Linked DNA regions of Lonchura striata. The protein of the gene in region 1 interacts with the protein of each later gene in a pairwise test. Links are inferred from orthologs where the notes say so. Each region holds a gene or a part of one and is shown on either strand. Other genes may lie near its edges.

Region 1 (7,405 bases):
TCTGACCAAACAGGCACAGCACTGGAAAAGTCTCCTGGAAGTCACTTTTTTGTTACGTGCTGTTTATTTGTACAGCACGACTGTCAGAAAAGGCACAAGAGAAGGAACAACCCAGTATGTAAACTAAAATCAAGCCTAACCCAGCAATTCTATAGAATGAGAAGGGCCTGGAAAGAAAATGAGGGGAAAACAACTACACCACAGAACTGGAGAGGTCAGCGATGAGGTGCTACACAAAGGATTCCTCTGCTTCCCGAGCACGCCCAGCCAATGAAATGGGTAAAGGTGAAGTTTGAGATATGACATCGAGGAAGTAAAAGCTTCTTTTATGAGACTAAACTGGCAGGATTTATGCTCCCTTCCATGATCACTAGCTGTCCTGTTGAGCAGAGGGTGTGATGAAGTGGCTTGGTGGGCACCTGATGGCCAGCCAGTCAGGGTCTACCTGCCACACTCTGCAACTCTGCACCTTCATCCTCTCAAGGACATTCCAGATCTGTGGAAGCAAGTATGTGGAAACTAGGACTTAAAGACTTACAGACTCATGGTCTTTAGATATACAGATTACACAGTTTCTTCTCCAGCACTTCCCTATATATCTAGCTGGTCACAATATTCCTCTGGTCTGCAGCTGCTGCCTTAAAGTCACCACATTTCACCCCAGAGGTGACTGCATTTTAGCACAGGAATTGATTTTCTTTTGATTTGATCATTATTGATCATTGTGATAAGGTGCTCAAAGTTATTTTTGGGACAGAATAAGCATGGTATGTATCGGCACACATCAATAGCAGAGTGTCTTACTAACCAACTCATACAGCATAGCCTTTTCTGTTTGCTTTCTTTTCTGTGTCTTGGATGTCACAGTCCAGGCACTGGGAAACTGTATCAATTTCACAACAGTAAACACTAAACTGTGACATTACAGAATAACTCCTGCAAGAGGCAAAGGCCAATTACAAGAGACAATTATTTATACATAATTATCTTTCTAGTCAACTGTGATAGAAAACAGTATGAGAGTGCAAACTCATATACAAAACCTGATTTTTATCTCCTCCATTCTCAAAGTAAAAAGACACTATTTTCTCTCTAGCATATGTTTTTAGTGTAGCTTTTTATTTTACTTTCTACATCCAAAAAGAGACCACACATAAAATATTATTAATAATGTACCATCATAACTGGATTTACCTATTAAAATAAGGTTAAATAGACTGCCTCATACACCGAGGCATATCTAAACCTGAACGAAATGGCAACTGAGATTGGCAAAACAGTCACCTATTTCTGGCAAATACTCTTTTTATAGGCCCATTAGGATAGAAAGAAAAAAAAGCAAAATTTCAGTTTTGTTTCACCACCTCCATGCTCCAGCGCAGTCATGCACTAACTCTGCCTCCAAGTTGGGAGCGTGTTCAGTACCAAAACCCCACAAACCAAACCTGTTCTCTGTAAAATTACACCCTTGATAAGTTTGCTTAATGGATACAGACCTCCAATGCATTTCAGACACGTCTGGCAAGTCCCTGCCCCTCTAGCTTTAACAGGGACCATGTGTGATGTCCCAGACCCCCCTACCACAATACAGCAGTCATTATTTACTATTCCCACCAAGTGAGTTTATTTCCATATTTGAATTTCTTCACTTCAAACGTAATTTTACAGAGCACTCCTCAGACAGCAAGTCTTGACACTCGTGTGTGTGTGTCCCCCTTTTCACCAGTGTGACATTAAACCCAAGCAGTCACCTGCCTTGAACTTGGCATGCAGGACACACACAGCGTTTCATGGAGATATTCCCGTCCAATACTTGGGAACACAAAAGGAAAAACGATCTCGAATCAAATCCATCAGGACAAAAACATCTCATCGGCCGGAGAAGGGATAAATCCCCAAGCAAAATAAATCCCTAGGGCTGGGAAGTCCACCTGTGAAAATGCCTACCAGCGGCTGTATCTTTTCCCCCCTTTAATTAAAGAAAAAAACAAGAAGACTGAACACAGAGCTGTGCTTCTTGTCCGACATGAATTAAAATATTTCTCCCTTCACGATCCCTTTTAAAAGATCCTCTTTTCCAAAAGCAAACACACCCCGAGCGAACAAGTTACACGGCAGCGGCTCTCCCCTGCCCACGTACAATTAATTACCTGCGTGGATTTTTAATAAAGCGATCTCGATTCAGCTTTTCTTGAAATACACGGATGTACACAGCCGAGGAGAGGAAAAAAACCACCCCAAATACAATAAACCCACAAGAGTTGAATACCAAGAAGGTCTGTCGCTGCTCAAGTGTCATTATTTTTTGCTCTCTTCCCGTTTTTACCTTTTCTCCCCCCCGCCCAAGCAGGATTCACCACGAAACGCGATCCAACTTTATTTTGTGCAAGGTTCTCTGCTTGAAAAAAAATAACACGTCCACCTGAGGTGGTGGTGGTTTTGCAACAACACGTAACACATATGCAAAAATAATTAAAAAAAAAAAAAGAGGAAACGGGGGTGAAAGAAATAAAATTAAAAAAAAAAAAATAAATAGGCGTGCAATGGTTTCGGGGAGTTGAGGCAGAGGATTGCGGAGTTCAATAACAGAGCCGGGAGGGAGCGGCGGCCCGGGGGCGCCGGCGTTTCATAACGCCCCGCTCCCCCCGGGGCAAAAGTCGGGGCTGCCCCCGGCCAGCGAACAAAGCCCGGCCGCCCGCGCCTTACCTTCGTTGACCAGTTTAAAGCTTTGGGATTTCCTGCTCCTCTTCCTCTGGGCGAACTCCATGGTGTGGGCAGGAAGGAGCGGGGCGGACACAGGACCGAGCTCCGTCCCTCCGATCAGCAATACACGCGGGGGTTGGGAGAGACGGCGGCTCCGGCGGCGAATAAAGGGATCCGGGACAAGTTGGCTCCGGTCTCCCCCTCGCTCCCGCCCCGAACTTTGAGGAAAAGCGGGGTGCGGCGGGGGGAGCCCCGCGGGGGCGATGCCGCCGCCTTCCCCCCCGCCGGCTGCGCGGCCGCGGCCCGGCGGCGAAGGGCGGCCCGCAATGGCTTCGCCGCCGGCGCCGGGACCCCGGTGCCACCTGCTGGGGGAAGGAAGGCGGCGGTTCCGCCGGCCGGGAGCCGCCACCGCCACCCCGGGGCCGGCCCGCCGCCACTCGGCCCCGCCGCGGGTTGAGGGCGAGGGGCTGAGGGGCAGCGCCATTTTGTGTCCCCCGCCCGCCGCCCGCGCGCGGCTCCGGCGCTGCCCGCCCGGCGCTGCCCGCGGCTCCGCTCGGGGCCGAGCCGGGGCAGCTCCTCGCGCTCGGCGGGACCGGGACTGGAGCTGGCGTGCGGAAGTGGGTTAACCTGAGGAACTGATGGCAACACCTGTTTGTTGCCGTGTTTTACAGGGATCATCGCAGCGATGTGTCCGCTGGTGTCGTGGACCGAGGCCTGGAGAAGAGCGGCGAGCCGCCGGCTGGGATGAGCTCTGCCAAACCTGGATCCCTCAGCAGGAGGAAGAGAGGCTCGGCTCTCCAGAGCAGCGAGATTTAGGGCGTCTGGCAGCCCTCCCGACGGTCACCGTGAGGTCACTGCAGCCATACGGCTGGCCCAAACACAGCTGAAATTAGTGCTTTGATTTATTTACCACTTGATGCCTTCAGCCACACTTCCAGTTCGCTCACTGTGCGAAATTCACTGAGGGTGGAGTGATTTTTTTTTTTTTTTTTTTTTTTTTTTTTTACAGCCGAGAGTGCTTTTGCCTGTTGCCTGTAGAGAAAGAACTCAGGCGTTTACAGTTATGACTACTGATAACTGCAAACACAGCTCCGATCATCATATTGTGTTTTACATGTAGTCAGACTGTGTTGTGACAAGAAGACTATGTGATACTTGCATACGCCTACTTGAACAGATGCAAAATGCAGATCTTGCCTTGGTCTCTTCAGAGCACCCAGGAGAATCCCGTTAGCTCCAGTAATATTGACCGACCCTATCACTAGGTATAATGACATAAAATGAGCAGGAGGGAAGAAAATTGAATACTAGCAGTAGTGATTTGTATCCTAACTGTGTGCATGCACACAGTCAGACCTGAATTCTTCGGTGCAAGGTGCCATCCAGACACTACACAGAGGATATACCTAGTTCTGAAAAGAAAAATTGGGAAATAGCCTTAATGGTGAAGCAATATCAGAAAATATGCCTAATGGTAAAATTTATTATATGCTGGAAAATTAAATTCACTAGGGAGGTTATGGAAACCTCACAGATTGGGTAGGGGTGTAATTTTCTATTAAATTGCTAAGTGGAAAATCCCAGAGGCAATCAATATGCTACTTTTGGAATTTTCCTAAACTTCTCTGTAAGACTTTATGAAAGGAAACTGGGCTAGCGTACTATTTAAAATCCTGCATTACATATTTTTGGGAGGATGCTGAAGCAGCAAAGGTAGATGGATGTCATATACTGTTTGCTGGATTTTGTGGGTCCAATTAATCTCTGGTACAGTGCAATGAAGCTGGGTCTGAAATGCAGCAGCAGTGTGCTTAAAATTTTCATACAAAAACAGTATTTTCACTTTTTTTTTCTCCCCTCCCCAGACGGTCTGCTGATTCCTGTCTGCTAACTAACTTTATTTACAGGACTTATATGCTGAAACTGTTACGTTTGACGTTTGACTCTCATCCTTCCTGGGACAATAGAAGAATTTTTATAAAGCATAAGGCCCTCATTTACAGTTTAGCTCACATGATGAGCTTTATCCTGCATTTGCCAAAGGAATGTGCTACAAACATCTTTTCTGTTTTACTCTGTTACTCAATTTTGTGAAACATTTTGGGGTATAATTTATGAAAATGTGATGGCAGTGTTTTATAAGCTGCTCTCTTACTGGTTTTAGTTCTTCCTTCCCTGTGCTGATAATTTGCTTAAAGGGACACTCATGGTTTTAAATGACATTTCAGTCTGGGCAATGCAGTTTCTAGTAATGTTTTCCAAGAGTTGGCACATCCTCTTTTCCACTGATATTTCTCATTTTCCTTTATGTGAGTTAGATCTATCCTTTTCATGCAGAATAAAGCTGATCCTGCAAGCTGGCCTAATTGTGGTCGCTCAGATGAATAAATCTTGCAGCTTTCATTTCTGAAAGTATGAGCCAGTGTGGATACTGCAGCTCCAGTCTTGCCATCTCATCTGCATAAAAGTGAATTAGAAACTAGGACAAGGTGACTTTAGGTCAAAGTCTTGTAGTTATCCATACAACACGTAGGAGGATCCGGTAGCTGGAAGTAGCTTTGTCCTACACTGCTGGTGCTTCTCAGCAGGGACTTAGAAAAAATGACACAAACTCAAAGGCTCCCATGTACAGGGAGCTGTGAGTCTGTCACTGGGCATTTTGGGGTGGGCATCCTAAAATTGGACTGGGATCATCTGCTCGTTTGTCACAGGCCACCATTGCATTATTCCAGCTGGAGAAATGTAGAGATGAAAGTCCTCTTTATCCCATTAGAATGGCTGCCTTGTGTCACCCTAGATAGTCACTGGCTGCATTGCTGTGGCAGCCAAGTGACTTAGGATAAAGTGCACACTGGCTCTGGGGAGCAGACAGCTTTTAATTTCATCTTTTATTTCAGTTTCTGTCTCAATATCATGCTATTATTACATATTAAGAACCCATAGGTCTTTTTGGTGAAAATATGAAAAAACTGAGCATTTTGTATCTATTAATGAATAGATACAAAGTTTTCAAAGTGTTTCCTCAAACCATTAACCGAGTAATGTGTTTTTCAAAATGCCTTAAATTGGCCAGCTAAATAAGGGCTTTGTCTTGCAACATGTCCCAAGTCAGTATGATCATCCCTGATTATTTCTTAGTTAACATTTTATTATGCTTCAAGTTACTTTCAAAATATCCCCTCCCCATTCTAACTGATGGTAATTTTTCCAACAATTTTCTGGTGTGTAGAAATACTTTTTCATTTCAGACACGAGCTAACTGATTAAATATAATTAATCTAGTAATATTTCGGTGTTAACAGCAGCAGTCCTCTTCACACAGGATGTCCCAGACTTTTTGTTTCCAGGTGTGCCCAGTTCATGATAATATTTTATTATTCAGAAGTAGGATGGTATAGGACAAAGATGACTAAAGAGTCCTAGAGCTGAGGAGAATTAAATAAGTGCACTAAGCTGAACCACTTCAGATTTTCAGTTGGAAAAATTATAGTGGAGAAAGTCTCATAAACTCAGTGATTCGATCTGAGGCTTAAAGTCTAATGTCAAGGAATTCATGTGAGGCCATGTGAAGTGGGAAGAGGCTGCTGACTGTCATATTAATAGCACCATGATTACCACTCATCTTGGAGCCTGACGAGATTCCGTGTGGTATTAGAAGCAGGAGAAGGGTGAAGAGGTAAATTGGAGACCAGGAGCTGTGCAGGTGACAGGTTAATAGGTGAGCTATTTTGGTTAGTTATGTGTAATGAATGGCACTGAGGATTTTATAAACTGTAGTAGTGTTTCCAGTGGTGGTTTTGAGGTCATATGACATACGTAGGCAGTACTTAGCCCCCAAGCTGACAATAGGCCACATTGTGCTCTGCTGTCTCACTACAAACCTTCCCTTTCAGCAGGCTCTCAGGCTGGCATATCCAAGGACTGGGTCATTAGAGAGAAAGATGTCTGGATGTCCTGAAGAATTCTGAAGTCAGGAGTGCAGTTTAACTTCTTTTCTAATCCTCCTTAATTTTTTCGTGACCATTTGAGTCACAGTACTTGACATTTCATGTCTCTGTCCTTACTCTCTTTTTCTTTTGGAACACAGTTGTGAAATGCCTTCTTGTCCATCCTGCTGCTTGTTAATCTTTCTCATATAAATTTTAAAGAAAAAAATTACAGGACAGACCAATGTTTTCATCTGTTTGCTAGCTCAAGGAGACCAAAACATTCCAGAACTGTTTCAACAATAAGGAATATAACTGAATCTATGTACAAAGAGTTCTTTGTGTGTGCAGTCATAAACCTTCTGAATATTTCCATATCAGAATGCAAACCTTCTAATCATTTCCATATCAGAATGCAAACCCCCTTTTGACTATAAGGTTGACTATAAGGTTTTCCCCTGCTCTGTGAATTTATGTACAGCTTGGAGTAAGATTGCAAGAGGAAGGCCACTGCATTCTAAGAGTCAGTGCTTGATGGTCATCCACTCTGATCCAATACTTGTGGCATAATGGATATTAAGTCATCCCTAAGACAAACTAGTGTTTGGATTTGAATTCGGGGAATGGAGAGGAGACCAAAGTGTCTAAGTAACAGCTGTAGTTGAAGGATGATGAAGAAAAGGTCTCAACAATGCTCTTTTTTATGAAAGAGGATACGGAAGAATAAAAGAAATCTGTCCATATTCATGGATATCTTCTGCTTCTCTGCAACATGG
Region 2 (7,786 bases), on another chromosome or scaffold:
GATCTAAAACAGCTTTGAACACGCTCTTTTGGCACATGTTCCATCCAACACCACAGAAATACCAGTCTTAAAGAGAAATAATGTTTATAATATTTTTACTCTCACCTCTGGCAAGTCCACATATGCTGTATGATCCACACTAAATTTTAAAAGCCCACTATCCATACAGTATTTTTTCTTTCTATCACTGATATATATATATGTATATGTATAGAGAGAGAAAGACATAAAAACCTGCCTCGAGGCAAACCCATCCTTCTGACACACTACTTTTTTTCCTTAGAATCACAAAAGAACAAAAGAAACAAAGTCAGAGACAGTAATAGGGCAATTAGGTTCCCAAAGAGAAAGTGTGCCCGTATTTGCACAACAATAGTAACTTGCACATAGGAGACTACCCCACCCCGAACACGCAACTGGTACACTAGCAAAGGAATTAAATTCTGGTACAGAATTGTGTACCGTTTGGGTCTTAGGGTCTGTGGTTAAAACCACTTAACATTTCAGAAAGTTAAAAGAAAACCAGCGAAAATGCAAACGGAACAATGCAGTGTCACAGACCCCAGATCAATTCTACAATGAAAGCATGCAGAACACAGCGGAAGAAAACCCGACCAAACAAAAAAGAAAAATCCAGCAACTTTTAATCTTCAATTCTTCAGCTGGTTATTTACTTGCATATTCATATTCACATTAATATTCATAAAAATATATCCTAAAAAGAACAGCGTTAACCTAGCATTCGATAACTCCGAATATCAAACATATTAATCAGGTATCAAGAAAAAACAAATTCGGTACAATGTATGTAATCTGCTGACACTTTTACACTCCCTTTGCTTGACCATAACGCACGCTCAGGTTAAAAACCAAAACAAAAAACAATCCAAGCCAATCGTTAAACTGTAACTTCAGATCGAGTTTAGAAGAGCTGTAACTTTTCCAGCCGTGCGCAGTTCGTAGTTCCACCATTATAAATTTAAGAGGGGAGGAGACAAGGCAAGAAACTCCATTTCTGCACCGTGCACGCAAGGAAGAGCCGCGGCGGAGCACCCGCGACCCGGGAGCGGCGGGGGGCAAGGGCGGGCGCTCGCCGCCTCGGCGGCAGCCCCGCCGCTCTGCCCCGGCGCTCGGGCCCTGCGGGCGGGCGGCGCGCAGGCCTCGGCGCCGGCCGCCCGCCGCCTCCCCCGCCAAGGCGCCGCGGCGGGCGCGCACAACCGGCAGGGCCCCGTTTTCCCCCCTCCAGCCCTTCTGGAAAGTTTTCTCCCCGGCCCACAAGCTGTAAAGCGTCCCTGCCTGGAAATGCGGCCCCGCTGCTGCCTGTCCCCGCCCCTCCATGGAGCAGCGGGTGCGCTGCTGGCGGCGCTGCCCGCGCACGGCCCCGTACCTCGGCCGCAGGCGGGCGGGCGGGCGGGCGAGCAGCCGGGTCATGCCTCAGGGCTGGGCCGGGCCCGTCTCCCCGCCTCTCCTTCCCTCCGCCACCATGTCACGCCGACCAAACATGTCTGTGCGCCTGTGTGTGGCGGCGGTGACTTCCTGATCCGCCGCCGCTGGTACAGGCGGAGGGACGGGAAAGGCCACCCGCCCTCCTATCCTCCCCCCGCCGCCGCCTCCCGCCCCTGCCCCGCTGCGGCCCGCGGACGGGCTCCGCTGCCCCCGGCCCCGCCCGGCAGCTGGCTGCAGCAGCGCTCTGCCGCCCACCCCCGCCTCCGGCTGGGCACAGAACTTTTCCAGGTGCCAAACACCGCTGTCCCCTCTCACGACACGGGGGCCGGCGACCCGCAGCTACCTGAGCATCCGCGCGCGTTTGCATCCTGGCTCCCGCCCGGCCGGGTTAAAAAAAATAAATTTCCGCGCACACCGGAAATAAAACGCTTTTTTGCTTGGCAGGCGATTCCAAAATTGTAAGCGCATGTTTTGTGCTACTCTGCTTGGAGGTGGGGAGGAGGAGGGGGGTGAATTTCTGCAGGGAAAACGGGAGGGGTACGACGACATGCAAGCTATTTTGGGAAGTAAACCGCGACACCTTTCCAGCAGGAGTGACTGCACAGTTAAAAACAAGAGACCGAAAAGCAACAGGAGCCGCAGCCCTGTTGGGCTAAAGTCCAAGCCCCCGCTTCTTCCCCCTCCCCGGTGTGTGCGATGTTTGTGACAGGCACGCAGCGACGATCCGGATCATGGCCTCCCTGGCTCTGCCGGGGAATGCCGCTACTCTCCTCGCAGGCGAGACCGCTCCCCCCTGCACCATGTTCCTCCCCCCCCATGCCTCCCCACTTCCCCTTGCTCGGCTGGGTCTGAGCCAGCGTGTGCCACGGCGGAGGAACAGCCCCAGCGCACCGCGCTCTGCTGCCTCCGGACGCCCTGAACTTCACCCCGCGACCCCCGGCAGCTGCAGCGGAGCCGCCCCCGGCCCGTCCGTGCGGGCCGTCGCTCCCCAAGGATCTATTTGTGGCCGCTTCGCCCGCAGCCCGTGACACGCTCGCTGGGCGGCAGGACCGAGAGTGCCGCTGACTCACGAGTCAGCCACCGGCGACTCCGTGGGGGTTCTGTCGCTCCCGCTCCGGAGATCCGCATCGTGATTATTCCAGAATAATACCGGATCAAAACTTTCTTCTCCCCACCCACTGGGGGATATAAATATTCGGGAGGGCCCGGCACGGGGGAAGGTGGGGAGAGGAAGCAGGTGGCACGGCGGCGGCTGGGACCGGCGGTGCCGTGCGCAGGGAAGGGCAGCGATGGGGAGAGGGAAGGTGGGCACGGAGCGAGCCGGCACAGCCGGCGACAATAAAGGACCGTGCCCGGGCACGGGGAGCTGACGGGGTTGGACCGAGTCGCAAGTTGTATTTACCTTCCGCCCGGGCGGAGCGCCGTGCTGACTGTCGCTCCTCTCCCCCCTCAGTGAGTCACCCGAGTCCAGAACCGGAGCGAGGGACTAGATCACGAACATGACTTCATTGATGACAGCCATTCCCTCCTCTTCCTAAACTCCTGCCCCTCCTCCGGCCCCCCCTTCGCCTTCGCCACTGCTCAGACAGCGGTGTTGCCATTGGTCCGCCAGGCAGGGAGTGCCCGCCCCCTTGCGTAGAAGGGGCGGCTCTATTGGCCCGGGGAGCCGTCGCTCACGCGGGAGGCCGGGGGGGCGGAGGTGTGCAGGCGCGCGCGGGGCGGGGTGCGCCGCGCTCCGCGGCGCCGTGCGCAGGGCGAGCGCGGCGCTGCGCGCGGGCCGCACGGCCGCGGCAGCCCGCGCTCCCCGCGGCGGCGCCGCCGCGCCCCTCCCGGCCCGCCTCCGCGGCGCGGGGAGAGGGGCAGGACCTCTTTGCCTACGAGGGCGGCACTCGCGGCAGTAGTTTGGGGAAGAGGTGAAGAAGGTGCTGGAAGTGCGCTGTGCCTCTGCCCCGCTGGAGGGGCGGGGAGGAGCCAGCCTGACGGGCGTGGGATCAGCTGTGTCTGGCTGTTGGGTGTCTGTGTGTGTGCGTGTGCGTGTGCGTGCCCAGGGCGGGTGTCTCTCTCCCCTTAACATAAAAACACGTGTGTGGGGAAAGCTTAGAGCCCATCCCCTCTCTCCGTAGCAGAGGTTCTGTCGTGGACGACGGCGGGCTGCCGAGAGCGTTGCAGCGGACCCGGCCTGCCGGCAGGCTGCGGCTGTCCGCGGCCGCTCGCGGGGCAGGGCCGGGCGGCTGCGGAGGCACCGGCGGCGAGAGCGAACCCGGGGGAAGAGCCGCGGAGCAGCTCTTGTTTCTGCGCGATTGGGAGGGGAAATAGTGCATTGTGTTGCTTGCTTCCGTTTGAGTAGGTTTTTTAAAGTTGGTTTGGAAGGACACTTTCCAGTTCTGTATCCTAGTGCTGCATATTTTTTGGTTTTTTGGGTGTTTTTTTTTGGTTTGTTTTGTTTTTGGGGTTTTCTTTCTTTGGTTGTTTTTTTTCCTGTTTTGTTTTTTTTTTTTTTTTTGTTTTTTTTGGTTTTTGTTTTTTTTTTTTTGGTTTTTGTTTTTTTTTAATGCTTCAGGTGGTTTACGTGGTTTGCAGCAGGGGCTGCAGAGCTCCCATGTTTTTTGTACAAGCTGTACCTGTTCATGTAACAGGCAACTAAGTACTTCATTAAAATAATGGGCCTACCTGTCTGAGGTTTTTTTTTTTTCTTGAACACGGGTTGTAGAGGTAAAAAAAAAAAAAAAATGCAGCCAGATTACTGTACGTGGTGTTAGAGGTAGTTACATTTTTTTAAGATTATGTCACATGGGCAGTATTTGCCATTCTGCAAGTAAAATTTCACTTCGTATGGAGTAAGAATGTTCATAGGAATCTAAGTAAAATCAGTAGCTACTACAGACGCTCAGGTGACCGAGTTTAAGTGAAGTTCCTGAGCTGTGGTCAGGTGGAGTAGTTAAAGACCTGAAATAGTGCTGGGAGCACCAAATGCATCTTATGGTCTTAAAGTGACAGATATTGTTTACACGGTGTTTAGCGTGGAGCTCTTTTTATTCAAATCACCAATTTGCAATGCTGGCAATACAATACGAATTACTACTGTTCCTGTAGTTTTCCAGTTTAATCGTCTTCATTTTATTTTTTTTTATGTAAATGGTCAAAATGCTGAAAATAGGTGTGTAAGAATCAGTGCTAACTGGATAATGCAAAGTATCAATAAATTAAAAAGTTTAAAAGGCTGTATTTTCAGTTCACCATTGTCATTGCAAAATATTTACTTGGGAACAAAATCAAAGAAGTTGAATCATTCAAATCTTAATATACAAAATAACTTATGTCATTATGTAAATCTTTTGATTGACTTGTAATTTAAAACTTTGTTTTTAGCTTTGTCTTAAGCTGCAAACTGGCGTCTAAGAGATAAAAGAATGTATTTAACATTCTTGGAACATTATGCTAATGAAAATGAAAGGGGTAAAGAGATGCTTTCTCATTATAATTTTTTTTCTTAATACTGAAACTCTCATTAGGCAGTCATTTACGCTTGTCGTTTGTTTTTCTTCCTCCATTCCCTAGTGTAAATCTGAGGACTGTTTGCCTTTTCTCTCTGCCAAAGAGACAACAAACATTAAATAATGGAGGGGAAGCTTTCTTTCAAAACAGCTCGACTGTTTGCTGGATTCAGCAACACTCAAAACATTCTAAACCAGGTCAGGCCATTCTTTTTGTTAGAAAGTATACAGAGAAGAAAAATAAATAAAAAGTTAATCTTTTAGGCAAAAGAAGAAAGGTTCTCTTGACTCTGGAATAGATACAGCTATATTTAGTTAATGATTATGTTTATTTTGGGAAGGTTGCAGCAGCCAATTCCATTTTGAGAGCATGAACATGCCTGTTGCTGGTGTCAGTCTGAATGCTTTTTCTTTTTGTGTTTTGATGAAGTACCATTGAATCTCATTGTAATCTGTCTGGAGTGGGTGGGAAACATGAGAGTTTTTTGTCAAGTGAGGCATGTTCACCTGATACAAAAATCCTAATTGGAAGGGTCAGTAAGGCTTCCCTATATGAGCCTTAAGTAGCTGAAGCTTTGTTTATAATGAATATGTTGATGATGAATAGTCACATGCTATAGGATAAATTTGTTTTCCCCCATTAATTTATCTAATATAACAAAAGGAAGAAAAGATGAGGGTCTTTAACTTGAATTAAATGGATATGGCCATTAATGGTAAAATAGCATGTAAAATTTTCAGACTAGATGAGGTACCACTACAAAAAGAGATATTTCTTTGAGTAGCTAGATATGTTGCTGTGGAACTAAAGCTTTTTTATTTGAAGAATTATACCAACACAGTAAGGCTGTTGAGAAACTGATGTATCGGTGGTACTCTTGAAGGGACACTTCAACCAAAAAGAGGTCATTACCACCAGGGAGTTGCAATTGTTTACAGCAACCTCACCATTACCACCTTGAAACCCCTGCTGTAACAGTTAGGGCTGCTATTTCTGTGTTTGCTATCACTTGTCTGCCAGAGACAATTGCACTCACTGCAACAGAAATAGCAGAAAAAATTATATTTTAGTATTTCAGCCGGTTCTTAGCAGAATCCAGCTGCTTTAGCCTAGGTGGCTGTGAAAAATGGCTTAAGCTAGAACATTCCAAGAAGACAGCTTTATGCTCAGGCTTCTGCTTCAAAATGTTCTTCAGTGTGTCCAGGGAAATCATAAAGAAGTGAACTTGGCCATCCACAAGTTCATGGGCTCTGCTGGGTTCCTTCATACTTATGAATGCTGAAAGAACGAGTAGACATGATTGCTCTCAGATCTTTGAAAGGTCATGGCAGTCAGGAGAGGTGTCACAATACTAGAGGACAGCAAGTACCACCCTAGTCTTCAAAGGCGGCAAGAAGGAGATTCTGGGATCTACAGGCCGATCGGTCTCATCTTAATCCTGGAAAAGGTAATGAAACGTTTCATCCTGGAGGCCACCTCCACATACATGGTGGACACAAAGATGATGAAGAGTAGTCAGTGTGCTTAACTAACCTGATTGCCCTCTATGCTGAGACAATTACCTGGGTGGATGAGAGGGAAGAGCAGTAGATGTTTACCTGGACTTTGAGCAAGAGTTTTGACACTGTCCTCTGGTGTTACTCTCATAGGCAAGCTCAGGAGTATGGGCTGGATGAGTGGACAGTGAGGTGCCAGTTCTCACTGCAACCTCACTGTCCGACCCAAATTTCCTGAGCTTGAACTGCAGATCCCCGAGGGTTGTAATCAGTGGCACAGAATCTCATTGCTGGCCTGTCTCTAGTGGTGTCCTCAAGGGCTCAGTACTGGTCCAGTATTGTTTAACTTGTCAGTCATGGGTAGATGCCTCCTCAGCAAGTTCACTGACAACACAAAGCTGGAAGGGAGCGGCCAGTACCCAGGAGAGCTGTGCAACCCTTTAGAAAGACTTCAGCAGATTGAAGAGGTGGGCAGAGAGGAACTGTCTGAAATTCAACATGTCCAGTTCTGGGCTCCTCAGGGCAAGAGAGGCATGTAGCTCCTGAAGCATGTTCAGCTGAGGGCAGCATAGGTGGGGTCTGGAGCATTCCAGCTGGGACAGGGCCTATTCAGTCTGGAGAAGAGAAGACTGAGAGAAGATCACATCAATATGTATAAATATATGATGGGTGGCTCTCATGAGGATGGAGTCAAGTTCTTAGTAATGCTGAGTAATGGGCAGAAGCTGGAAGATAGAAACATTCACCTGAACATGAGACATGAGGAAGAAATTCTCTACTAATTGAGCACTGGAGCAGGTTGCCCAGAGTAGTTGTGGAGTCTCCTTCCCTAGAGTACTTAAAAGCAATGTAGACAAAATTCTGACTACCATGCGCTAGGGCATCCTGCTTGAGCGAGGAAGCTGATGACCGCCAATGAGCTTTTCCTCACCTACTTGTTAAAGGGGAACAATACTTGCCCTGAAGTAGGTGAATCCTGGTGGGAAGGTTACTCCTTACACATCTGTTGTTGTGCCACTTGTGTCACTTGACATGAGTATAGAATAGTCATACAATACATTGAATGTAGAGTGTATCTGAGCCTGATATGATTGACAGCAAAGTCAATTGGAGCTGGTTCAAGCTTCTCCTTCTCTTGTGGAACAGTAAATTACTATTTAATTTAAAAGTAAACCTTACATTCAAATACAACTTTTATTAATGTGCTTGTACTCATACCCATTTCCCCTCAGCCTTTTTTTTTTTTTTTTTTTTTTTTCTGGAGACATGCTCATCTATCCGCATTCACAAGTTTAAAAGATAGAGCCTTTCAGCCTGTTTCAAAGCAGCTTCATTTGCTCTAAACTTTC

The links.
Region 2: the proteins of BEND7 (region 1) and SMARCA2 interact in binary tests that used the Homo sapiens proteins (3 or more experiments, as listed by UniProt). The two-hybrid records come from large-scale screens. The link is inferred for Lonchura striata from reciprocal best matches to the Homo sapiens genes BEND7 and SMARCA2.

What each region holds. Positions count from the first base shown.
Region 1 is NC_134607.1:66,508,959-66,516,363, reverse strand, and holds the start of BEND7 (BEN domain-containing protein 7), read right to left. Parts: upstream 3,012-7,405; 5' UTR 2,768-3,011; coding exon 2,707-2,767; intron 1-2,706.
Region 2 is NC_134642.1:16,215,518-16,223,303, reverse strand, and holds the start of SMARCA2 (SWI/SNF-related matrix-associated actin-dependent regulator of chromatin subfamily A member 2), read right to left. Parts: upstream 3,020-7,786; 5' UTR 2,849-3,019; intron 1,853-2,848; exon of another isoform or gene 1,790-1,852; intron 1,486-1,789; exon of another isoform or gene 1,388-1,485; intron 1-1,387. UniProt on the Homo sapiens protein: ATPase involved in transcriptional activation and repression of select genes by chromatin remodeling (alteration of DNA-nucleosome topology).